Callithrix jacchus: one gene and its partners. The protein of the gene in region 1 interacts with the protein of each later gene in a pairwise test. Links are inferred from orthologs where the notes say so. Each region holds a gene or a part of one and is shown in the gene's direction. Other genes may lie near its edges.

Region 1 (4,153 bases):
GCTCAAGGTCAACTATGCTAGCCTCAAACCACAACCCCTAAAGCTGCCTCAAATTCCTAATACTAACCCCACCTCTAATTTGTTTTCTGATTCCCAGTACTGGCTTGGACATTCATCTCTTTCCTAGCAAAGACCCATATTCAATCCCTGAACCCTAACACTGATCTACGTTTTACCTTTAGCACCAAATCCCCTGATGTTAACCCTAAATGTTGACCCCAAAGCCTAAAGTTCATTTGTAAACTGATTCCTAACTCACCCTTTCACTGTTTATTCTTAATAGTGAGCATGCCAACGTTCTTTAATCCCCCAAACAGATTTCTAACCTGATTCCTGTTGTTGACCCTTAACCCGATCCTGAACTCAAATTATGACGAATGCTGGCCATGCCAGTAAACAAAATAATGACCTTAATCTAAACCTTACCTATCCAAAACGGACCTGACTCACACTGACTCAAGTTTTAACTCCAGCTTTTAACTCCTACAGCGACCCCTCATTCCTAAACCGATCCCACCTAATCTGCAACTCACCCAAAGCTTTCCTACCCACATGCCCGCTATCAGCTAACACCAAAGCCCGTCCCCGCCCTGCGCCCCGCTGCCACCCGACTCCTCACGCTCCCCAACGCCTATCCCAGGCAGAGGACTGCTCCGAGGAAAGGTCTGTCTCCCCTAAGACGGCCTACTTCACGCCAAGCCCAGGTCGAGATGCGCTGGACCCTGACCTCTCCTACTAATAGGACCCGAACCGGACACGAAGGAGAGGCAGGGCCCCGCCTGCCCGCCACCAGGGCCAGGTTCCGCGGCCCCACCCTAAGGCCCCCGCCCGGCCCAGCCCGGTCCGGTCCAACCTACCTGCGCTGCCTGGCTCTGCGCCCTGCCCGCCGGCCCGCAGCCCTGAGGCTTCTCGGGTCGCCCTCTGGCTCCGGCCTCGCCTTCCCTTCGACACTCCCTCGGCCACTTCCGTCCCAGGAACGTCCCCCACCCGCGGGCGGCGCCCTGGGCTCGCGCTCTATGGTCGTGGGGCCGGCAGGAAGCTGCTCTGGCCCCGGTCTCGATGCTCAGGAGCCGCCGAAGCCCGGCAGCCACTCCCCGGCAGGAAGCGAGGGTACGGCGCAATGCTGAGACGACGCCCGGATGACGCCTGAGCTTCCTTTTAGGCCTGAACTCTTAATTTTTCCAGCCTGGGGGAGAAGGCGGAGCCGGAGCCCCGGAGCCTCCGCCCTCGGGGTGCGAGGCGACGGCAGGGCCGTCCCCTGTATTTGCATAGCCCTTGGGACGTGGCGCGGCACCCAGGCCGCCTTCCAGTTGGAGAGAACTCCAAGTCCCAGAATGCCACGGGGCCGGGTGCGTCACTTTCGCTGTGTTGGAGGCTGAGGAGAATTGAGCCTGGGAGGTGGGTCCGGAGAGGGCTACGGATAGCCCCGGCGGGGAAGCCCGGCCGTAGAGGGGCGGTGGAAAAGTGCCAAAGGCCGACAGCTGATCTGGGACTCGTGTCTGGGCTTCGGACGTTGGGGCCCCGTGGCCCACCCTTTACGTAGATGTCTCAAATGGAGCTAGAATTGGATCCTGGTGACGAAGACCTGCTGGGCTTCCTGCTAGAGGCAAGTGGAGATTTGGGGACGGCGCACGAGGCCATCAGGGCCCCACTGGACTGGGAGCTGCTGCTTTCTGAGGTGGGTTGGGATTGCGACTGGGGAAAGCGTGGGATGTCCATGAGGTCAGGTGATGGTTATAGGTCAAGGCCTGTTCATTGGAACCCTGCGCAGGTACCGAGTGACTGGGAGTTAGATGATTTGCTGAGCTCACTGCTGAGTCCCCCAGCATCGTTGAACGTTCTCAGCTCCTCCAACCCCTGCCTTGTCCACCACGACCACACCTACTCCCTCCCACAGGAAGCTGTCTCTGTTGATCTAGGTGAGTCTGAAGTAAGTTTGCTGGGAGGAGAGGATTCATGGGCCTGGCTATTCATACTTTCCCTTTTGCAGAGAGTGAGAGCTTTGGAAAAGAGGAGACCCAGATGACTACACAGCATGTGGAGGAAATGGCAGAGCAGGTACTTGACTTGATTTTCAGGAAGATTACTCTCACATTCCCCAGGTGGGGCAGGATTCCCCATTCCTCTCTGACATCCCCATGCAACTGCTGCCCACTTTCTTGTTACCCTAGGAGACTGTTAGGTTGGTACTGACAGATGAGGAGAAGAGTCTATTGGAGAAGGAGGGGCTTATTCTGCCTGAGACACTTCCTCTCACTAAGGTAAGACTCTCATTGGTTGAGCAAAGGCTGAAAGGGAGTAAGAGTCCCAAGTAGGCCAGTTTTGTTAACTTTATATCAATAACTTTAAAAAAGGATTGAGTTGAGAAAATTAGCAGATTTGTTGCTAATAAGAAGTTGGGGCAGGTACCTAATGTGCTAGATGCAAGGGCAGATACTCGTATTTGTTGGGCTTACTTATACAAATTTTGGTGTTCTGCCTAAAAAAAAAATCATCAATGTAACTTAGTATTGGGCCTTGGAAAGGACTGTGTAAGTGAAGGGCCTTGACACTTCATTGGCTTGATAGTAGTCTACCTCTTGCTGAATGGTAAAAATGTTTAGAGTTCAACAGGGGTGGACTAAGCAGGACATGAATAAATGTAAAATCCTGAGTTTTAAGTTTTAAGCAATGAGCAGCAACTTCACAAGCAGAGTACTGTGATACTATGATGAAATCAGTGCTCATTAATAAAAAGGTTACAGGAATTTTTTCTTTTTGACAGGGTCTTGCTCTGTTGCCCAGGCTGAAGTACAGTGGTGTGATCATGGCTAACTGCAGCTTTGACTTTCTGGGCTTAGGTGATTCTCCCACCTCAGCCTCCCAAGTAGCTGAGACTACAGGTGCATACTACCCTGCTCAGCAAAATCTTTTCTGGTATTTTTAGTAGAGATGGAGTTTTACCTTGTTGCCAGGCTGGTCTTGAACTCCTGGGCTCAAGTGATCTACCCACCTGGAGCTACCAAAGTGCAGAATTTTAATTTCTTCAAAGTACAAGATGAATCGGCAGTGTGATGTGGCTACTAGGAAAGTGAATGGAATTTGGAGACTGTAGCAATAGAGTTATTGCCTCTATAAGTGACTCTCTTGCTTTCCTTTATACTGGGTAGAGCACATCTTAATGTCCAATTTTGAGACCATCTTTGACAGATATTAAGAGGATGCAGGCTATCCTAAGATGATGTTAAAAATTTTGTGTAAGTTTTTTTTTCTTTTTTTTAAGCTCTGAGGAAATGTTAAGTGCCTTAAAATAGCTAACACAGTTCATTCTATTTGGCCCCAGAAATACTAGGTAAGTCTAATGGATAGAAATTATAAGGAGGCAGCTGTTGGTTCAGGATAAGAAAGTTTTGTTTAAAGACAGGTTCTTTCTTTATTGCCCAGGTTGGAGTATAGTGGCAAGATCATGGCTCACTACAGCTTTGACCTCTCAGGCTCAAGCCATCCTCCTGCCTCAGCCTCCTGAGTAGTGGGACCACAGGTGTGTGCTACCACACCCAGCTAATTTTTTATTTTTAGTAGAGACAAGATTTCAATATGTTGTTCAGGCTGGTCTCAAACTCCTGGGCTCAAGCAGTCCTCCTGCCTTAGCTCCCTAAGGTATTGGGATTACAGGCATAAGCCACGTTGGCTGCATATTGCCTGACCAATTTTTTTTTTTAATTGTTTAAAATGGTCTGGCTTGTTAGGGTTAACACCTGGTCCGTGGAGGCATTCAGAAAGAAACTGAATGCCTATTGGTCAGAGAAGCTGTAGAAGAGATTTCTGCATTGGAAAGAGATTGATCTCAGTTGCCTTTCAACTCCTTGGTCTAGAGTCCCTCTCATGGTATCCCTTTCCCTGTTTGCTTTCAGATGGAGGAACAAATTCTGAAACGTGTGCGAAGGAAGATTCGAAATAAAAGATCTGCTCAAGAGAGCCGCAGGAAGAAGAAGGTGTATGTTGGGGGTTTAGAGAGCAGGTATGAAAGGGAGAGAGACTCAGTTGTTAGATTTTTGAAGGGAGGATACAGGTCATATACCCATATCTTTATTTCCCCCAGGGTCTTGAAATACACAGCCCAGAATATGGAGCTTCAGAACAAAGTACAGCTTCTGGAGGAACAGAATTTGTA
Region 2 (4,138 bases), on another chromosome or scaffold:
CCTCAGCCTCCCAAAGTGCTGAGATTACAGGTGTGAGCCACCACACAAGGCCCTAGTGTCCATCTTTTTATCCTCTGTGCCTACCCCAAGGCCCAGCCAAAATTAGGTGCTCTATACATCTCTGAATGGACGTGAGGTTTTCTCCTTCAGGTTTATGCTAATTAATGGGCATCAAGGACCCAGTTCCCCAACCTGGGGATCCTCTCAAGGCTTACAGAGCTCACCGTATCAGTCATTTCAACCATCCAGGCTAAATAGGGAAGAATAACTCTTGCCTTTCTAACTCACGATACTCTCATGAGAAGAAAAATATTAGAGGCTTGGCTGGGCACAGTAGCTCACGCCTGTAATCCCAGCACTTTGGGAGGTCGAGGAAGGCGGATCATCTGAGGTCAAGTTTGAGACCAGCCTAGCTAACATGGTGAAACCCCATCTACTAAAAATACAAAAAATAGCCAGGCATGGTGATGGGTGCCTGTAATCCCAGCTACTCCGGAGCCTGAGGCAAAAGAACTGCTTGAACTCAGAAAGTGGAGGTTGCAATGAGCCAAGATCGTGCCACTGCACTGCAGCCTGGGCGGCAGAGTGAGACTACACCTCAAAAAAAAAAAAAAAAAAGGATTTGAAAGTTTCTACCTATCCAGTCCCCTCTCTGCACAGAAACAGAGGTGTCCGAACCTTTCTCTTCCGACAAGGTCTCTGTCGCCCAAGCTGGAGTGAGTGCAGTGGCGTGATAACTCACTGAAGCCTTGAATTCCTGGGCTCAAGTGATCCACCTGCCTCCGCCGCCCTAGTAGCTGGGAGTACAGGTGCAGGGCACCACGGTGGTTAATTTTTTAAAAAAAATTGTAGTGATGGGGGGGTCTCTCTTTGTTGCCCAGGCTGGTCTTGAACTCCTGGGCTCTAGCGATCTTCCCGCCTCGGCCTCCCAAGGTGTTGATGCTCCCCTGTGGCAGCCACGTGCCCGGCCCTGGGTTCTAATTACGATTTTGTTGCAGGCGGTAAAAAGTCACGTGGCCTCCAAGGTCCTATATTTCTGCGGTGTGTCAGCTTGGCACCTAATGTGATGTGATCTCCACCCTCAGCTCTGTTTGCTCTTTTCATCCTGGGGGCTAACCGCTAAGACATAGCCTCCGGCTTCCCTAGGGGAGCCTCCAAGCGGGGAGGCACCGGCTGGGGTACTGAGGAACACCCACTTGAGGAAGGTCTCCCTGAGCGCATTCTGCTGGCTGGAGATGTCGGCTGAGCCTGCGCGCTAGCGCCCCGCCCGCGCCGCTGAGCCGGAGGAAGGGGCGGGGCGTCGCCAAGTCGGGTCCGCATCCGCCAGACGCCGGAAGTGGCTCTCCGCCCCTGCCACTGGACCATGGAGACTGTGTCACAGTAGATTGTGGTGTAAGGCTCGCGGGGGCAGTGGCCATGGAGGCCGTGCTGAACGAGCTGGTGTCTGTGGAGGACCTGTTGGTGAGGCCTGGCCCGGACAGGGAAAGGGAAGGTCGGAGGGCGGGTCCTGAGGAGAGTCAGGTAGCTGGCCGAACCCTCCTCCCGGCATCAGCTTGGCCGAGGGAAGCCGAACTACGACTCCCGGCAGCCTCCGTAGCGCCTGTCTCCTGCCGAAGGGCCCGCTATGCCGCAGAGGCTCCTGGGGGTTGTAGTGTCCTGAGCCCCCACACCACACACTGCGGCCCTGAAGCTCCGAGTGGTTAGACTGCCGGGCTGTGGAATCCTGCTGTGAAGTCAGGGCGCTCCTGCAGCGGTGGTAGAATACAGTGACCATCATAAGGTGTCACGTATTATTGTGTTCCGCACGGTGCTAAGGCAGCGCATTCCAGATCTCAGTCTTTCTTTGTAGCTCTAGGAGGTAGGCACTGCTTCTATTCCTGGACATTAAAAGGTCCAGGCCCGGCAGAATGGGGCAAGATGGGGCCAGCAGCCTCAGAAGAGGACCGCGTGGGCTGTTGTTGAGCAGTTCTGACAGGGTGTTTACTGTTCGACCGTCGGGTCAGCTGCTCCGGGAGCGGTGCCTGGCGCTGCCACCAGGTGGCATCTCCGCTCGCTACCGCCGGTGGGGAGGGGAGACCAGGGGCCTGGAGGAGCCGAAAGCCTGGGTCCGGGGCCCGGCGATAGCAGAAGCTGGGGTGCCAGATACCGAGACCGGCGAGGGAAAGGGGGCAGGGCCAGGGAGATGGGGTGTGACCGACACCACGTCCAGATAGAGAATGGTTGACGCCCTTCATGTCTAAATGATTCCTTTGCTCCCCTGTGGCAGAAGTTTGAAAGGAAATTTCAGTCTGAGAAGGCAGCAGGCTCGGTGTCCAAGAGCACGCAGTTTGAGTACGCCTGGTGCCTGGTGCGGAGCAAGTACAATGATGACATCCTCAAAGGCGTCGCGCTGCTCGAGGGTGAGGCGCCGGGCGACCTAACTCCCCTTCCCGCTGCCATCGGGGCTGCTGTACGACGTGGGCCCTGTAGGCCAGGAACCTTGCAGTTGTCTCCGGTAGATTTACTGCAGCAAGGCTGACCTCTCCCACTAAACTTTTGGCTGCTTACCACCCACCATTGTTTTGCCAGACAGAGTCCTAGCCTGCCAGTTCCCCCAAGACTATGTTGATCTGGGAAAGCGCCTTGAAGTCATGCAGCTAATCAATTAATGGCTGAATTGGGAATAGAAGCTCCAGTTTTGAGAGACCCAGGCCCATGCCCGTCCCCCCAACACCAGCACCTTGTTGCTTAGTTCGCAGCTACTGAGAATCTTTAGTGGCGTGGAAGAGGTACAGAGGACTGTCCCACAAATTTGTGAACAGACAGTGCTTTTTGTTTTTTGTTTTTGTTTGAGACAGAGTCTTGCTCTGTCTCTCAGGCTGGAGTGCCGTGGTGCTATCCCGGCCCACTGCAACCTCCACCTCCCGGTTCAAGCGGGCCCGCCACCACACCCGGCTAATTTTTGTATTTTTAGTAGACAAGAGTTTCACCATGTTGGCCAGGCTGGTCTCCCACTCCTGACCTCAGGTGATCCGCCCACCCTAGTCTCCCAAAGTGCTGGGATTACAGGCCTGAGCCACTGCATGCGGCCAGATAGTGCTTTTTGGATTGGGTCAACATTTGTCAGAGGCCACAATACTTAACCACTTAATTTCTCTATAGCTCCTTTCTTTCGTTCAAGTAATAATTTATAAGCACACAGTATACAACCATCCCTCTGTATCCGTGGGGGATGGGTTCTAGGAACTCCACCCCCACAGATACCAATAGCCACCCAAGTTTGTGGTGTTACATGTAACTTACACATCTTCCCCCATATACTACATCATCTGTAGATTACTGATAATACCAAGTACAAAGTCAATGCTGTGTAAATAGTATACTGTATTGTTTAGGGAATAATGGCCAGAAGAAAGGTCTGTTCATGTTCAGTACAGATGCAACTACCTTCCGTTTTCCTGAGTATTTTTGATCCGTGGTTCGTTGAATCCATGAATACAGAACGCTGATGTGCTAGCAAAGGATGCCTATTGAAAATCTATAAAGATAAGACTCTTTCTTAAAAGATACAAATAATTTCACCGCATGTTTGTCTACTTTCACAATTGAGATTTTCAGGTTTATTCTGCAGCAGGGTGTAGCAGTAGAAGAAACGGCCTCTCCAGGTGTTGCCACTCTAGTTGGGGCGACAGTACAGACACTTAGGAAGATTTATAAACACCTGCAAAACTATTTGGCAACAAATCCTAGTGCATAGAGTACAGTTATCCTCTGGGAGGCCTCTGAACTAAGGTCAGGTGGGGCCAGGTGGCTCACGCCTGTAATCCCAACAGTTTCAGAGGCCGAGGTGGGCAGATCATGAGGTTGGGGTTTGAGACCAGTCTGGCTAACATGGTGAAACCCTGTCTCTACTAAAAATACAAAAATTAACTGGGCATGGTGGCTTGCACCTGTAATCCCAGCTACTCAGGAGGCTGAGGCAAGAGAATCCCTTGAACCCAGGAGGGGGAGGTTGCAGTGAGCGGAGATCATGCCACTGCACTCTGCTCTGGGCAACAGAGCAAGACTCTTGTCTAAAAAATAAAAAGAGAAAAAGAAAGTCAAGTGGGGCCAGGCTTTGTGGCTCAAGCCTGTAATCTCAGTACTTTGGGAGGCTAAT
Region 3 (4,045 bases), on another chromosome or scaffold:
CAGAGGACACCTGTCAGAGGCCAGCTAGGGGCCACAGGCCCCCCCAATCTCCAAGAACCCCAGGGTAAGGAGGCTGCTTCAAGTGGGTGGGGCACCAAGCTTGCCAGGAGGGACAGGGCTTCTCCCAGCGGTACCAACACGGTGGCACCTTCTGCCTGCATTTCCCAGGCTTGCTGGTCGGCCCCTGGGGGGAGGGGAGAAGGGGTGGCCGCCGTGGCGGTGGTCGGCTCTGCCTCTATGGCGACTGCCGTTGACACTGTTCTCTGTGCGGATGGAGATAAAGCCGGTAACTCCAGCTGTTTTGTTTTGTTTTGTTTTGTTTTTGAGACGGAGTTTCGCTCTTGTTACCCAGGCTGGAGTGCAATGGCGCAATCTCGGCTCACCGCAACCTTCGCCTCCTGGGTTCAGGCAATTCTCCTGCCTCAGCCTCCCGAGTAGCTGGGATTACAAGCACGCGCCACCATGCCCAGCTAATTTTTTGTATTTTTAGTAGAGACGGGGTTTCACCATGTTGACCAGGATGGTCTCGATCTCTTGACCTCGTGATCCACCCGCCTCGGCCTCCCAAAGTGCTGGGATTACAGGCGTGAGCCACGGGGCCCTGCCGTCACTCCAGATTCTAATCAGAGCACACAGGAGAGGAGCTGGCGCTGCTTCAGTGGCGAGGATGGTTGATCAGTCCCAGCCGATGCTAGGGAGAAACACTGGTCCCAGCCTGAGGGCGGCACAGCCCACCCCAGGACCCTCCTAGCGGGAGGGCAGGAACGCAAGCCGACCTCGGTAGTCTCCGGCCTGAGAGGGGAACATGATCAAGCCCAGGGCAGCCGCCAGTCGGAGGGGGCAGACGCGGCCCCAGGAGTCTCTGGAGACCCTCTTCCGAGGCAAGGAGCCACAGTCCTGTCATTGGGACCACCAAAGAGGATTTCTACAAACCAAGGTCGAGAACCTTTCTGTGGGAACGCGGCCCACTCTGCGCGGGAGAGGAAGCGCAGCCGTCACCCCGTTCTCACTCAGCAACACCGGGCGCCGCGCCTGGCGAAGGCTGGCAGGCTTCTCGCGACCCGCAGGTGGGCTCCACGTGCCCCAAGGACGCAGGCACCGGTGCGCGGGGCCGCAGCCCGGCGCCTTTTGCAGCCGGCCACCCCGCCCCTTCCCCGGGGGCTTTTGCACACGACGCGCCGCGGGCCGCTTCACACGGGGTGGCGAGGCCCGGATAAAGTCGGCGGCCGCGGGGCTCAGCGGCGTACCTGAGACCTGGGGCGCTAGGCGCGCGGAGCCAGAGCCGGAGCAGCAGCCGCAACTGCAGCCGGGGGACCGCAGGGGCCGAGTCGGAGAAAGCGCAGCTCGCGGGTGAGCGCCACCCGGAGTCCCGCGCGCAACTTCCAGGGCGCACTCGGCGGGCGGCCGCGGCGCTGCCGCTACCCGGCGCGGGGCAGCATGGAGGCCACGGAGAAGCAGCACCTGTTGGACGCCAGGCCCGTAGTCCGGTACGACGAAAGCCTGGAGCCAGGCGGGAATTTGGGCGGCAGCCGACGCACCTCCGCGCTTGCCATCCTAGCAGTGGTTCGTTTTGGCGGCGGCTTGAGCTGGGGCCACGTAGGAAGGGTGGGGTGAGGTGAGGGAAGGGTGGATGAGGTGAGGGCTGTGGCCCAAGGTCCCCTGGGGCCCAGCACAGATCCTGACCCCTGCCCGCGGGGAGCCTGGGGTCGGGTGAGTGGCGGTTCCCCTGCCTGGAATCCCGCCCCGCCCAGCACTTTGCCCCAGGCAGTCCCGCCCTGGGGAGGCCCTGTTGGAGGGGGGCCTGCTCTTCTCCCAGAGCCTGCACTCTGTTCCTTCCCCGTGCTCCACTGGACTGCACGCCCCTTGGCCGGTTCCCAGGGTCTTCTCCTCCTCTGGCCTCTGAAGGGATTGAGGAGAAGGAACACCCCGGGACCAGGACCCCAACACTCCCATTCCCTTAGCATCCCCGTCTGAACACAGGCTTCTCACCTCTGGTCACTCCTCAGGGATTGTCAACTTAGAGTGTCCTTAGCTATTTTTCCCAGTGGACACAGGCCTCACAGAGAAATGGGACCAGAGGCCGCCCTCCTTGCCCCATCTCAGAGCTGAGCATGCCCCCTCTCTTACTCTCTGGCCAGGCCATACATGGGATCTCTGTGGCAGGAGGGGGCTGGCTGGATCCCTCTGTCCCGACCTGGTCTGGACTTGCAGGCCATTGAGCTGGCTGTGGAGAGCAATCATTACTGCCATGCTCCGAAGAGTCCTAGCAGTGACTGTGACCCCAAGAAGGGGCAGGCCCGGCGCCAGCTCTACATAGCCTCTGCCATCTGCCTGGTGTTCATGATCGGAGAAGTCATAGGTAAGTACTTTTGGGCTAATTAAATGAAGTAGGTGCATGGATAGACTGGATATTCCCAGCAATACTGACGCTAATAGCCCCTCTTACTGAACACTCACCATGCCAAGCCTTTGTGTACACATTAGCTGATGCAGGGCTAACAACAACCTGTGTTATTACATGGGTGACGTTTTTTCTTATTTTACAGACCATGAAACCAAGGCATGTTCAGTTAAGTAACTTGCAAAGATTATACACAGCTAGTAGCTAAGGGAAGGCCTGAATTCCTAGAAGGAAAGAGCATTTACTGAATACCTACTCTGCTTTCCAGTCCCTATGTGAACTTGATGTGCACATCCACCCTCTAAGATGTTGGTGGCCCTTTTCACAGGGAGTGGAAGTTGAGGCTGAGAGAGAGTAGGTTGCTTGCTCATGGTTGTACAGCTCATGGGTGGAGAGATCCTGAACTCAGCATGGCTTTTTCCAGAGCCTGTGGTCTCCCTGCTGCACACACAGTCTGGGAAGCCAGGTCTCTGGGGAGCTGATAAGGACCCTGCACCCTCTGGCCCTGCCCCTGCAGGTGGGTACCTGGCACACAGCTTGGCTGTCATGACCGACGCAGCACACCTGCTCACTGACTTTGCCAGCATGCTCATCAGCCTCTTCTCCCTCTGGATGTCCTCCCGGCCAGCCACCAAGACCATGAACTTTGGCTGGCAGAGAGCTGGTGAGGATTGCAGTTTGGCTGGATATGGGGTTGAGAGAGAGGGTGAGTTAGAACAGGGGTTCTTAGGTAGCTATAATGGGTGGATCCCCCATTCCTCCCCCAAGTGAGGCCAGGAGGGTAATCTGGATGGGGGATGGGGGAAGAGAATATCAACCATGGCCTCTGTCCTCTGGTAAATTCCAGTCTTACGGGGAGCCCTGGTTTCTGTCATCCAGGAGCTCTCAGTCTGCAGGGAAGCAAAGTTCACTGTCCTAAGAAGTGCAGTAGTGGGACGGGCACAGTGGCTCATGCCTGTAATCCCAGCAGTTTGGGAGGCGGAGAGGGTCAGATTACCAGGTCAAGAGATCAAGACCATCCTGGCCAACATGGTGAAACCCCATCTCTACTAAAAATACAAAAATTAACTGGGCGTGGTAGCGCACACCTGTAGTCTCAGCTACTCAGGAGGCTGATGAAGGAGAATCGCTTGAACCCGGGAGATGGAGGTTACGGTGAGCCGAGATCATGCTACTGCACTCCAGCCTGGCCACAGAGCGAGCCTCCATCTCAAAAAAAAAAAAAAAAAAGAAGCGCAGTAGCCAAGCTTCAAGAACAAATGACAATGGCATTAACACTGCATATAAATCTGTGGATCAGCTCTGGGGGGAGGGGAAGGCCAGCAAAGCCTGCTGGAAGGTATAGGTTCTAACCTCTCTTCTGTTCTCTTGGGGCTGCGTCGTCATCTTCCTCTTTTTGGGAGATGGCCCAGCCTCTCTTACCCAGAAGCCTCAGTTTACTAGCTGGACAAAAGGCATATATTTTAATAAGCCAGTTTCTTCATATGTACAATAAAAAAGGTGGACCCAGATGATGACTTACTAGTTCCTTCTAGCTCTGACATTCCCAAATATAGAGTGGTGGGGTAAGGAGCAGCTATGCCAGCCATAGCTTCAGCAGAGCCCAGTGGGACCCAGGCCTTGACTTTGTGTTGGGGGTGGGTG
Region 4 (4,064 bases), on another chromosome or scaffold:
ATGAGTTTGCTTTCCATCCAGAGAATATGGCCAAGAGATTTCCTGCCCAACCTCAGGAGCATCACTGAAGCCGATTTATGAGGAATTGTCCTACCACAACACTCTGCTATGGCATCTGGGAAGCCCTCAAAGCAGCTGCCTGCCTTAAGAACGAGGCCACATGACTCAGGTCATTATAAACCCTAAAGCTGAGCCCTGAAGAGGGAGAGCATTGAAAGGGGTAGGGAAGCACAGAAAAATGATCTGCCCACTCTGCTGTCACTGGGCAGAAAACTCTAGTGGGCTTGAGAAGGGGAAGTGATCTTAAGGAGGGCGGAATAGTTTGGGAACCTACTTAAGGCAACCATAGTCTGTGTTTTTAAAATCCTGACATTTCACTACAGATTTGCGTTTTAGTATTTTGGAATAAAGAGGGCTGAAATATAAAATCTTAGTTTTCTGGAAGTCAGATATCGAGATTTCATAGGCAAACAAAACATGCTATGTATGTAAAACACACACACACATACTCACACACAGCCTTTTGCTAAACTGAATGAAAGGGTAAAAGTTCAAAGCAATGAAGGGGAGGAAAGATGGATTGGGTATGGACTTTTCTTCATCTACCTCGATTTTTGAAATGTCTCTCTCCCTTCCCCACCATTTCCTTTGTTAATTGCCCTTATTTAAATTTAAAGAAAGGGAATTAGATTATCAAACAGGTCACTCACACCTACCTGTAGCTTGGTCAGTGTGAAACAAGCTGGAACTGGTTATATGCTTCCCTGCTATTTTTATTTATATTGTAAACCACTTTAAAAATTTTAGACAATGTTATAATAAAAATATACACTATTTCCCCCCATCATCCCTGGTCTTTTGGTGAAGCCAGCACAATAATCAATGATTCTTATGTGTGAGGAGCAACTCCAAGTGGAGGTATTCATGTCCCTAATGCTATTTTACTTTTTCTCATCAGCAAATTTAAACTACGACTTTATCCTGATCCCGCTCCTGCTCTTTGCCTCTTCTCCCCCCACCCTTTCACGTTCACCAGCCTCCTCCCCACCTCCTCCCCGCCTTTCCCTTTGCCCTCCCCTTTCTTCTAGCCCCTCCTCCCAGTTGAGTCAGTGGCTTGAAACTTTTAAAAGCTCTGTGCTCCAAGTTACAAAAAAGCTTTTACGAGGTATCAGCACTTTTCTTTCATTAGGGGGAAGGCGTGAGGAAAGTACCAAACAGCAGCAGAGTTTTAAACTTTAAATAGACAGGTCTCAGTGCCTGAACTGGCCTTTTCCTTTTACTTCATCCTCCAAGGAGTTCAATCACTTGGCGTGACTTCACTTCTTTTAAGCAAAAGAGTAAGTTTTTTAAAAAATGAGAACACTTTACCTAGTAGTTTCTTTTTCTACAAGTAAAACTTTTCTAAAGTTTTAAAATGTATTAAATGTAGCTTTGAATTATGATACTGTAAATGGACTGATGAATTTGAAGGTGTTTCTATAGTTTTAAAGTTAAAATTTGTTGGACGGAATGTATATTTTGACTGTTACAAAAGTTTCTATTAATATTGCAACAGGTAAAAGGTTCAAACCTTTAAGATTAGAATAAAGGACTAGTTTACTGGATGTTTGGTTCTTCGTTTTAGAGAATAATTTATTTTTTTAATAATCAGTAATAGTCTAGGTGCTATCATTTGTTGGGGTGGGGGGGAGCGGTTAGAAGCCTGGGTTGGGGGATTTGACTGATTACATCGCAAAAACCCAAGTGCAAATTTGCTTAGCGTGCTTCCTATAGTATTCTACACTTCATAAAGTGCATTTTTCATATGGGAATCTTGATTGAGGTTCTATAGCTTTGCAGAGCCAACTTCTTTTGTGACAAAGTGCTTTGTTAAAACATCGTGGTTACTTGACTTCCACGTGGTTCCTTCCTATAATTTTTCCATTCAACAAAAAGGTATCAAATTCAAGAGTATTAATACTACCTTTGAAAATCAATAGTAAATTGTTACTTTGTGTTAGCCACCGCTATGGAAAGTTTCGAGACCCTCAGGAGACACTGCTTTTATTCGACCACGCTGGCAGTTTAGGAGATGAAGTCTCTTCAATGGGTGGTGGTTAGTTACAGAGCATTAGAGGAGATCAGACGTTTACAAGAGTGTACGCCAGGGTGCTTTTCCAAAACCGTCCCCTAAAACGGGAGCTCCTAGAAAGAGCAGGGGAAAAACTTTCTTAAACGGCGCTTTAGAGGGATCTACCCACCCCCAGCCCCGCCGCCCCGCACCTTCCCTCTACCCGAACCTGCAACACAGTTCAGAACTCCGGGGCAGTTCTTTGGAGTTGGAGCTCCTAGGGCAAAGATAACGCGAATGTGTTGCTTTAAAGGATTCAGTATTTAAAATACTTTTATTGCTAACACACATTTTGTTCAGCAGAATGCAACCATGCATTTTTTGTGCCCGGTAAAGATTTTTTGTTCTGTGTAAATCTACAGACTAAAATAATTAGCTTAGATTCTTGACGTGACCCTGCAGTGGAAGTGTCTGCACCCGTGAATGCTGAAAAGCAAATAAAAATGAAAGCTTTGCGGAGGCCCGAGGCCGTGGGCCGGACGGGCGCGGGGCGCCTCCTGCCATCTTAGCGTCTGCCGGGCTCCCTCCCGCGCCTTCCTGCCCGAACCAGCGCGGTTTGGGGACGTTTCCCTCCAATCCTCACTAGTCAAACCGAGCGCAGGTCCGAGTTCCGTCACTGCGAAGGAACCCGGGGCGCGGGGTGGGAGGGATGGGAGGAGAGATGGGCTGGGTGCCAAATGGTAGAAGAGCAAATGGTTGATTTAATTAAAGTTGTCAATCTAATTTCCCATCCCTCTCACCCCAGTGGCATTTTTTTTTTTTCTCTGAAACTTGCTGAATCCCACTATCTCCGCGTTGGTAAAACCTGAATACCTTGGGAATTATCGTGCTTAAATGGCACTTGCAACTCTCCTGGTCCTGGAAGTTCCTGAAACTTCCCTAGAACGAGGCGGGGCGGCGCGGGGGAAAGGGCGGGGAGGAGAGACCCTCGGGGAGTTGATGACGCATCCCGGACGAGTCAGCCCGTTTCCTAGACGCGCGCCTCCCGCTCGGAGCTGCGCAGCGCCCACCCTGCCCCTTTCTTGACCCGGGCGACTTTGGCTGGGCGTTTCTGATAACGCTCATCAGTAAGCTCTCCTTGCGCCTAAAAGGCGTGCTTTTCTTTCTCTCCGGGTACAAAGTGGGGGTGGGAAGGGGAGAGGTACATGGTGTTGTAGAAAGAAGCGTGGCTTTATTTGGAGGTGGGTTTAATTTCTCTTGCTTCCCGGACCCAGTTAGTAATGACGAGAAGGATACTGAATCTCGCCCTCCGAAAATCGGGCGCATTTGACCTCGGTGAAAAGAGTCCCTGTGAGGAAGTCCAATGTTTACTTTTGTGCCAGGGTCGCTGGAAATTGAAGCGTCTGGTAATGCAAAGATTTCATTAACTATCCGCCCCCCCCCGACCCCCACACACAGTAAATAAGCCAGTTAGAAAACACCTTTGGAAGAAGAGTAATTACTTCTAGGTAGGCCGAATTGACTGGAAATTATACCAAGCAGAGGCAGTACATTCCGTCCTGGCGATGTGTTGATTCTATATTATTAGCAAATGTTCCCCCAGTGTGGGGGTGCTTTGCACTTCCCAAAGTCAGCGTAGACTGGTTACCTGTCCTCTGCTGGGAAAATGCAGTGCTAGTGCTTTGCTCCTACTTTCTTCACTGTTTAAACATGCTCCACATTTTTCTAATGCCTTCTGAGGGCTCTCACCCCAGCCACTGAGTTCCTTCACCCTTGGGGATTCTGATACCTACAGTGCTCCCACCCTGCTTGGGAAACGTGGTTCCAAAGATGCTCCCCAGGAGGTAGATAAAAGGCTGTGCTTGCAGATAACTGAAGGTTGCTTTGTTACTTAGATGGTTCAAATTCCTGCATCAAGGAGGGAAAACACTGGGTGCATTCTTTCTTTTCTTTTCTCTAATTCCAGGGGTGTAACTTGGTTTGAGCCTTTGTATATGATGCCCGCAGGGAAGGG
Region 5 (3,938 bases), on another chromosome or scaffold:
CTTCCTCCTCAGCCTTGCAAGTAGCTTGGACTACAGGGGCCCACCACCATGCCTGGCTAAGTTTTAAAACTATTTTGCAGAGATGAGGTCTCCTTATGTTGCCCAAGTTGGTCTAGAACTCCTGGGCGCAAGCCATTTTCCCATAAGTGCTGGGAATACAGACATGGCCACCATGCCCAGTCTATTTTCAGTTTTTTTGAGGTCAGTAAAACAAACTATTGTACAGTTTAACAACAATCTTTTATTCCTTTCCATATTCCTTCAGTCATTTTTTTTTTTTTTTGAGACAGAGTCTCGCTCTGCTCTGTCACCGAAGCTGGAGTGCAGTATCCTGATCATAGTTCACTACAGCCTGGAACTCCTTGGCTCGTGAACCTCCTGCCTCAGCCTCCTGAGTAGCTGGGTTTACAGGCATGCCCCACCACACCAGGCTAATGCCTTGAGTGACTGAAAAAGGAAACAGTAACTCTTGGCTGGGCGCCGTGGCTCATGCCTGGAATCCCAGCATTTTGGGAGCGGATCACCTGAGGTCACGAGTTCGAGACCAGCCTGACCAACATGGAGAAATTCCGTCTCTGCTAAAAATACAAAATTAGCGGGGCGTGGTGGCACATGCCTGTAATCCCAGCTACTCGAGAGGCTGAGGCCAGAGAATTGCTTGAACCCGGGAGGCAGAGGTTGCGGTGAGCTGAGATGGCACCACCGCACTCCAGCCTGGGCAACAAGAGCGAAACTCCGTCTCAAAAACAGAAAACGAAAAACAAAAAACTTTTCCAGTGTAAGCGCGATCGCAACGTGGATGAACCACAGCCTTTGCTCCCGCCTGCACGAGGCTCCTTCGCTGTCTTTGTTACTCCAGAGCCTTGCACGTGGTAGATGCGGCTCGTTTGTTGCCCGGAACAACAGGCAACAGGGCGAGGGAGCGCGGCCCGTTCCGGTTTGGAACACAGTGCCGGACGCCGAATTAGTGTTTGGCAACGCCTGGTGGACTTCAATCCCAGCCCCTCTGGCCTGACCCGCCTCCCGGGACCAAAACACGCCCGCGAAGGCCGGCGCGAGGCATGCCGGGCGCCCCCAGGTGGGCAGGTGCCTGGGCGGGGCGCGCCGCGGTTGGCATCCTGGCGGCTGCAGAGCACCCGGAAGAGCCAGCAACTTAGCTAGCGCAACAGGCGGCCGCGGAGGGGCCGGAGCCGGTGGGGACTGGGCCGCAATGGACAAGCTGAAGAAGGTGCTGAGCGGGCAGGACACGGAGGACCGGAGCGGCCTGTCCGAGGTGAGTGAACCCGGGAACTCGGCCCTCTCTCGCCGCGCTCCCGCCCTGCGTTCCCCGCCCGGGCCTGGGAAGCCTGCTGGGACTTGCAGGAATTTCTGGATGGCGGCTCTGCCCCTTCTCCTCCTCTTCTCCAGCACGGCTACGCGAGGAGCCCCGGGGCTGCAGTGGGCCTTCGGCCGCCGCGTCCTTTTCTGCCCCGCGCCCCTTCCTTCTGCCCCACGTCCCTTCCTTCTGCCCATCCTCCCCGACAGAGGGCCGGGCAGGAGGAAATCCCGGGACTGACCTGCGAGTGGGAGGGCAGGTGTCCCGGAGGTCGGCCCCAGCCCTACCAGCCGGGGAATGCGCTTTAGGACCGGGCAGGGCTGGAGGAAGGAGCCCTTGCTGGGTGGGTCGGGGCGCTGGACCAGGGCTGGGGTGTTGGGGTGGCGGTCCCCATCTCGCGACGTGGTTGGTAACCGCGACCCAAGCTCTGCCTTGGTTTTCTGCCCGGTTTAGTTGTAGAGTGTGACACTCCCACCCGGCCCTGTGCACATCGCCTCGTGATTGTAAAACTGCCTCCACCCTATGAGGGCAGGGATCACGTATTGTGTCTCTGTGTCCCTGTGCCCACACCTAGACTCTAGACACCCAGCGCCTCAGGAGACTGCCTGCGTGTTGATTTGTTTTATTAGAAAATATTTTCTTTCTTTTGTTTTTTTGGAGAAGGAGTCTCACTGTTGCCCAGGCTGGAGTGCAGCTGCGATCTCGGCTTACTGCAGCCTCCACCTCCTAGGTTCAAGCGATTCTCCCACCTCAGTCTCCCAAGTAGCTGGGATTACAGCCACCTGCCACCAAGCCAGGCTAATTTTTGTATTTTTACTAGAGACGAGGGTTTCACTATGTTGGCAAGCTGGTCTCGAGCCCCTGACCTCAAGTGATCCCGCTCGCCTCGGCCTCCCGAAGTGCTGGGATCACAGGTGTGAGCCATCGCGCTTGGCCTATTAGAAAAGTTTTGATAGTGCTGAAACCTGGCCGCTAATGTCCTAAGTTGTAGAACCACACAGAATGATGCATTTCTATTTTGGATGCTTTTGTCTATTGTTTTCCTTTTCAGATGACAAAATAACGTTTCTCTTCACTTTTTGGAGTATTCTTCAGCCTCCGTTCCATACCCTCCGTGAAATGCGGGTATTGAACAAGATGATATGGCCTCTTTCAACTGGAAACTGGAGTTTCCCTCTCACTTTAATCAGTATTTCTTCTGGGTTTCTCAGCAAGCTGCTTTCACCCTCGTTTGTGGTTGCTGATTTGTTTTGTTTTGTGTGATACTGGTAATTATACTTTCTCCATCACATCTCAGAATGTCAAACTTGCTCTCTGAATTACCTGGAGGGAGTAATGCTATGGGATCAAATGTTGGAGGCACTGAAGTTTAACTTGTTGACATTTCAAAACAAGTTGGTGGTTTGTTTTTAATTTGTTGCCTTTGTTAATTGGTGAAGGCCCAGGATTAATTTCACGGGTTCTTTTTTCTTGATTTCTAGCCTCTATTATGAATCTCAAGTGGAACCTCAGACTGGGCCTAAGAAAGGTCTGACTTGTAGGTTGCTGACCCTTGCTATTTAAAGCTTTATTTCCATTGACTGTCAGCAAGCCTTTATGAACAGTTGGTGCTTAAGAGGAGATACTTTCTCTCCCTGCAGACTCTTGGGAGGTGGGGTGTTGACAGTGGGATGATGCCGGTATTATTGTCTCAAAAATCATCACGAAGTACTGGGCCCACAGCTAGCGAAGTTTGCAAACATAAATGCGGAGCTTGTTTGTAACCTAAAACGGTGAATGCCTGTGTTGGATATTATGAGAAGGGCTTTAATGCGTTATGCTCAGGCACCTGTTGGATCTGTTTGAAAAAGAATAGGTGCTCATTCTTGTTCTCAAATACTTTGGTCAGCTTCCTCTTTCTGAGTGACATTTCTGTTTATAATACCATTGTATGGTACTTCCAGAGTCTTGAATTCCTGGGAAATGTTTTGTTGCTGACTGACTTCCTCTTCCATGCTTTTTACTTTAGTTTTTACTGATTAGGTCAGAACCTCCCTTAAAATATTGGTACTGATTTATTTGATTGTCTCACATTTTTCGTGGTTTGGGGGCTGCCAAAACTGGTGGATTCTGTGAGGAAATTGCTCTTTGTATGGTTAGTTGAATTCTTAGGTGCTCTTAAAAATCTCTTTAAGAGGACACTAGAAGAGTGCTTTTTACACTTTTTATTCCTTTAATGCAAACCATAAAGGTATGACTAGTTCTATTTCTTCTACCTCTCCTAGGTAGTTATAAACTTTTCATGGCAGCATCTAATTATAGCCTCATGATGAATTTCCTAATTGATACCTCATCTTCATAAATACACCTTAAATCTTTAGTTTCACTGGACTTTTTTCTGAAAGTATAGGTTTTATGTTTTTTATAAAGGATTCTGGGACAAGAAAGGTGTGAATAGTATCTGATTTTAAAGTGTGGAAATGAAGCAGTATTCCTTTCTCACCTCCTTATGGTCACCAGTCCTGTTTTTCTGAACAATTAGTTTTACTTCTTGGTAAGAGCCCCTCTTCTCTCCACATCGCAGAGTGAAAGCGACCTTGTGAATAACTGCCAGGCAGACTCCTTGTGAGCACATCGCCTGCAC
Region 6 (3,982 bases), about 46 Mb from region 1:
GCCTTGTTGGCCAGGCTGGTCTCAAACACCTGACTTCAGGTGATCCACCTTGGCCTCCCAAAGTGCTGGGGTTACAGCCACCATGCCTGGCCATCTCTTCCTCTTTTTGATCAGCATATTATCTTTTTTTTTTTTTTTGAGATGGAGTTTCGCTCTTGTTACCCAGACTGGAGTGCAATGGCGCCATCTCGGTTCACTGAAACCTCCGCCTCCTGGGTTCAGGCAATTCTCCTGCCTCACCCTCTCAAGTAGCTGGGACTTCAGGCACGTGCCACTGTGCCCAGCTAATTTTTAGTAGAGACGGGGTTTCACGATGTTGACCAGGATGGTCTCGATCACTTGACCTTGTGATCCACCCGCCTCGGCCTCCCAAAGTGCTGTGATTATGGGCGTGAGCCACCGCGCCCAGCCTTGATCAGCATATTATCTTGTGATTTTGCAAAGTAAATAAGTACTGTATTTTCACCCACTTTGCCCTTGAATCATTCAAAGCGTCCCCAAACTGTCCTTCATTCTCCATCTGTTCTGCTGTTTACTGAACATCCACATGCCTGGCCCTGTGCCTGCAGCCTCAAGACCCCTCTGCAAACATCTCACACATACAAGGTCTTTTGGACCCAAGAGATGCTGTGTCATTGCTTTACCTCCCTGAGTCTCAATTTCTTCATCTGCAAAATGCACTCAGAGGGAAGCCCCATAATTAAGGGTTTCCCACTCCTGACTGTAAGGCACCCTGTGGCTGTTATCCACAGTCAGGGTGAGCTGCTTTGTAGCGCTGGGAGTTGATGTGGTTTGGACGCCCTAGAAGCAAAGACTACAAAAGCAGAGAAGGTCCAAGGCCCAGCAGGAGGGAGGGACCCTGAAGACCTTATCAGGCTTTACCTCCTCTGTTCCTCCCAACAGCCCAGCTCTTGGTAGGTGCTGTTGTCCATTTCACAGATGAGAACACTGAGGGGGAAGTAATGACCCTAGAGGTAGGAAGAGCAGTGAGGGTGCCCAACAGGTAGCAACGACAGAGCTGGGGGAGGAGATGGTCCGGGGAGGGGAGCCCCGGCTCCTGCCCCTCCCCCGATCTCTAAGAGGATCAGGACACGCGTAAACAAGCTTTGTTGTGATCAGGACAATCGTTACTTTGTTATTCCAGGAGCCTCCTCTTCTCCCACCCCCAATATGCCCCAGGGCGCAGTTAGGCACTACCCGTCCCCGCGGGGCAGGCTGCCGCCCCCCACCCCTCCCGGAACCTTTCTGATTTATCTCTCCTTGGTGGGTCTCTGGGGTCCGTCTCAGCAGGTCTGCCGGTGGGCCCCCTGCCCCCAATTCTCTCCCGGTCCCGCCCCGCTCTTGCTGTCCGGGAGCCCGAGACCGGAGGGGTAAGGCAGTGGGTGTGTGGGTGCTGCTGGAAGACTGCGGAGGGAGGGGAGTGGAGGGGAAGCCCACCGGCTTGGGGTCTGGAGCACTGCTGCTAACCCAAGTGTGAACTTCGGTTTTCGTATTCGTGAAATAGGCTTAAAAATACCTAAATCTCTTGGCCCGGCGCGGTGGCTTGTAATCCCAGCATTTGGGAGGCTGAGGCAGGCCGATCACCAGGTCAGGAGATTGAGACTATCCTGGCTAACGGGGTGAAACCCCATCTCTACTAAAACACAAAAAATTAGCCAGGCGTGGTGGCGCGCGCCTATAGTCCCAGCTACTCCGGAGGTTGAGACAAGGGAATCGCTTGAACCCGGGAGGCAGAGGTCGTGCCATTGCTCTCCAGAGTGGGTGGCTGAGAGTCCGTCCCAAAGCAAAACAAAACCAAACACCTAAGTCCCAGAGCTGCCTAAGGAACACACGTTTTCAAGCGTTGGCTTCACGCGGTCATTCAGCAAGTCATTTCGTCCTCTTGGAGCCTCGGTTCCCATGCGGGTAAAATCGTGAAAAACAGCACCGAGCCCTTAGGAGTACTTTGAGCTCGAAGGGAAGCCATCCGTGTAAAGGGCTTAGATTATACACCCAGATTCTGGCAAGGGATCGACCCCGGGTATTCATGGAAACCCCTGAGTGCGCGCCCGTCTCGGGCGCAGGGAAAACAGCGACGCACGAGACAAAGCAAGTTTGCAGAACAGCAGGGGGCAGAGAGGCCGTAAACAAGCCAACCGGCCGCACTTGTAGCGGTTCTGTTGCTAATGCCATTCAGACCCCAGTCCAGCATTCCGCGCTCGGGGTGCGAGAGGCAGCTCCCGGGGCGGGGCGGCGCGGGGCGGGACCCGGGCGGGGCGGGGCGTCCCGGTCCATTAGGTCCCGCGCGGGTCCCCGGGCCGCAGACACGACGCCTCTCTGCTGGGTCGCAGACTCTGCTATCATCGCCGCCGCCGCCGCCGCCGCCGCCGCCGCCGCCAGGTGAGTACCCCGACCCTGCTGCCGCTCCCCCTCCCCGACTCCAGCCCCGCGATTAGCGCCTAGGCCGCGGCCCCGGGTGCCGAGCGGCTGAAAATTTGAGGACCCATGCCCGGTCTTTCTGCTCCGGCAAGTCGCGGACGAGTCCCTTGCGGGGCTACGTCCCGGGACTCCGGCTCCGACACGTCCCGGACATGCATGGTGCCAGGCGCGGCCCTCAGTCCCCGCGTCTGTGCAATGGGTGGTCCTTCTGCGTCTCGCCCCGAAGGCCGGGAGCCCCATCGTCCCCCTCACAGTCCTCGAGCGCGGCTTTCGGGGACCAGGCTCCGACCTCTGTAGTCGTGCGGACCCGGCCAGAGCGCAGCGCGGCACCGCCAGCCCACGGTCGCGGTCGCACAGCCCAGGTGTCCTTAAAAGAGGGAAGATGGCGTCGGGCACCTGTTCCCGCCGGGACTGGGCTCCCCGGGGCACTGCGCACCTGAGGACAGGCCGAGGAAAGGCTTCGTAACGGGACGCCCAGAAAGTCCGGAACAGGAACGTGCAGGCGGAGCGGCGCGCAGCCGCTCGCCCGCACCTGCCCCATGCGCCCTGCACAGGTGCGCTCCGGGCGGGGCGGGGGCGAGAGCCCGGCTGGGGCGTGGGACCTTGTCGGTAAACTGGGGGTGCGCCCCTGCGGGTGACCCTAGAGGGGTTCCTCCGCCTGCGGGGCGCCGTCGTGACAAGGATTAGGGGTTTGGAGCTGGTTGTCATCTGGGCTCTGACCTCCTAAATGCCATCACTTTCAAGCCGTTAATTGTTCTCAGTTTTGCTACAACGAGCCACTCAGGGGGCAGGACGTTGTTGTTGCTGCTGCTGCTCTTAATGTTGTAACATTTTTGTTGCTGATGCGGTGTTTACTGTGGCCAGGGAGGGTTGGTGTCAGCCTCATCTTCCCACATTAGGGTGGGCAATGGCTTCGGGAAGGTCTTAAATTCTATCTCCCCCTGGGAGCAGGAGGCCTCATTTTCCAGGTGGAGAAACACTTCAGTCCCAGGAGGCACAGAAATGCCAGAGTTGTCCAGCTGGAAGCCAAGGGCCGTTTATGGGAAGCCAAGCCAAAACCTTTTTCCACTGTCCGAGAGCCCTGCGGCCTCTGAAGGGCTACTCCGTCTCTCCAAAGTCAGTTTGTTCTGTCCATTCTGCAGAAACGTCTCCCTGAGGTTTCTGGCTGGGGGTGAAGAAAGCCACATTCAAGTTAGTGGCCTCCCTGGAGTTACCGCGATTTCTACTTAGGGGATACCATTAGAATAAGTTCTCAGTAAATGGCACCGTTTGGGTGTTTAAATACTCCTGCTGGCTGGGCGAGGTGGCTCACGCCTGTAATCCCATCACTTTGGGAGGCGGAGGCAAGTGGATCACCTGAGGTTAGGGGTTCTAGACCAGCCTGGCTAACATGGTGAAACCCGGTTTCTACTAAAAATACAAAAAATTAACCGGGTGTTGTGTGTGGCACATGCCTGTAGTCCCAGCTACTCTGGGATTACAGGCGTGAGCCGTCATGCCTGGACCTTTTTTTGTCATCGTAAGGACATTAAGACAGATTCTGACACATTTGACTAAAGCCTGT

Evidence for each region.
Region 2: the proteins of CREB3 (region 1) and FIS1 interact in a two-hybrid assay, tested with the Homo sapiens proteins (2 studies listed by BioGRID and IntAct). The two-hybrid records come from large-scale screens. The link is inferred for Callithrix jacchus from reciprocal best matches to the Homo sapiens genes CREB3 and FIS1.
Region 3: the proteins of CREB3 (region 1) and SLC30A2 interact in binary tests that used the Homo sapiens proteins (3 or more experiments, as listed by UniProt). The two-hybrid records come from large-scale screens. The link is inferred for Callithrix jacchus from reciprocal best matches to the Homo sapiens genes CREB3 and SLC30A2.
Region 4: the proteins of CREB3 (region 1) and GJA1 interact in binary tests that used the Homo sapiens proteins (3 or more experiments, as listed by UniProt). The two-hybrid records come from large-scale screens. The link is inferred for Callithrix jacchus from reciprocal best matches to the Homo sapiens genes CREB3 and GJA1.
Region 5: the proteins of CREB3 (region 1) and SFT2D2 interact in a two-hybrid assay, tested with the Homo sapiens proteins (2 studies listed by BioGRID and IntAct). The two-hybrid records come from large-scale screens. The link is inferred for Callithrix jacchus from reciprocal best matches to the Homo sapiens genes CREB3 and SFT2D2.
Region 6: the proteins of CREB3 (region 1) and BIK interact in a two-hybrid assay, tested with the Homo sapiens proteins (2 studies listed by BioGRID and IntAct). The two-hybrid records come from large-scale screens. The link is inferred for Callithrix jacchus from reciprocal best matches to the Homo sapiens genes CREB3 and BIK.

The regions. Positions count from the first base shown.
Region 1 is NC_133502.1:142,636,854-142,641,006, forward strand, and holds the start of CREB3 (cyclic AMP-responsive element-binding protein 3), read left to right. Parts: upstream 1-1,353; 5' UTR 1,354-1,543; coding exon 1,544-1,678; intron 1,679-1,771; coding exon 1,772-1,919; intron 1,920-1,990; coding exon 1,991-2,058; intron 2,059-2,171; coding exon 2,172-2,261; intron 2,262-3,893; coding exon 3,894-4,000; intron 4,001-4,081; coding exon 4,082-4,150; intron 4,151-4,153. UniProt on the Homo sapiens protein: Endoplasmic reticulum (ER)-bound sequence-specific transcription factor that directly binds DNA and activates transcription. Plays a role in the unfolded protein response (UPR), promoting cell survival versus ER stress-induced apoptotic cell death.
Region 2 is NC_133503.1:12,515,255-12,519,392, forward strand, and holds the start of FIS1 (mitochondrial fission 1 protein), read left to right. Parts: upstream 1-1,338; 5' UTR 1,339-1,416; coding exon 1,417-1,461; intron 1,462-2,266; coding exon 2,267-2,399; intron 2,400-4,138. UniProt on the Homo sapiens protein: Involved in the fragmentation of the mitochondrial network and its perinuclear clustering. Plays a minor role in the recruitment and association of the fission mediator dynamin-related protein 1 (DNM1L) to the mitochondrial surface and mitochondrial fission.
Region 3 is NC_133508.1:62,692,650-62,696,694, reverse strand, and holds the start of SLC30A2 (proton-coupled zinc antiporter SLC30A2), read left to right. Parts: upstream 1-1,245; 5' UTR 1,246-1,437; coding exon 1,438-1,487; intron 1,488-2,138; coding exon 2,139-2,359; intron 2,360-2,918; coding exon 2,919-3,065; intron 3,066-4,045.
Region 4 is NC_133505.1:127,878,274-127,882,337, forward strand, and holds the start of GJA1 (gap junction alpha-1 protein), read left to right. Parts: upstream 1-1,264; 5' UTR 1,265-1,337; intron 1,338-4,064. UniProt on the Homo sapiens protein: Gap junction protein that acts as a regulator of bladder capacity. A gap junction consists of a cluster of closely packed pairs of transmembrane channels, the connexons, through which materials of low MW diffuse from one cell to a neighboring cell.
Region 5 is NC_133519.1:34,101,385-34,105,322, reverse strand, and holds the start of SFT2D2 (vesicle transport protein SFT2B), read left to right. Parts: upstream 1-1,138; 5' UTR 1,139-1,210; coding exon 1,211-1,273; intron 1,274-3,938. UniProt on the Homo sapiens protein: May be involved in fusion of retrograde transport vesicles derived from an endocytic compartment with the Golgi complex.
Region 6 is NC_133502.1:188,655,043-188,659,024, reverse strand, and holds the start of BIK (bcl-2-interacting killer), read left to right. Parts: upstream 1-1,182; 5' UTR 1,183-1,370; intron 1,371-2,301; exon of another isoform or gene 2,302-2,379; intron 2,380-3,982.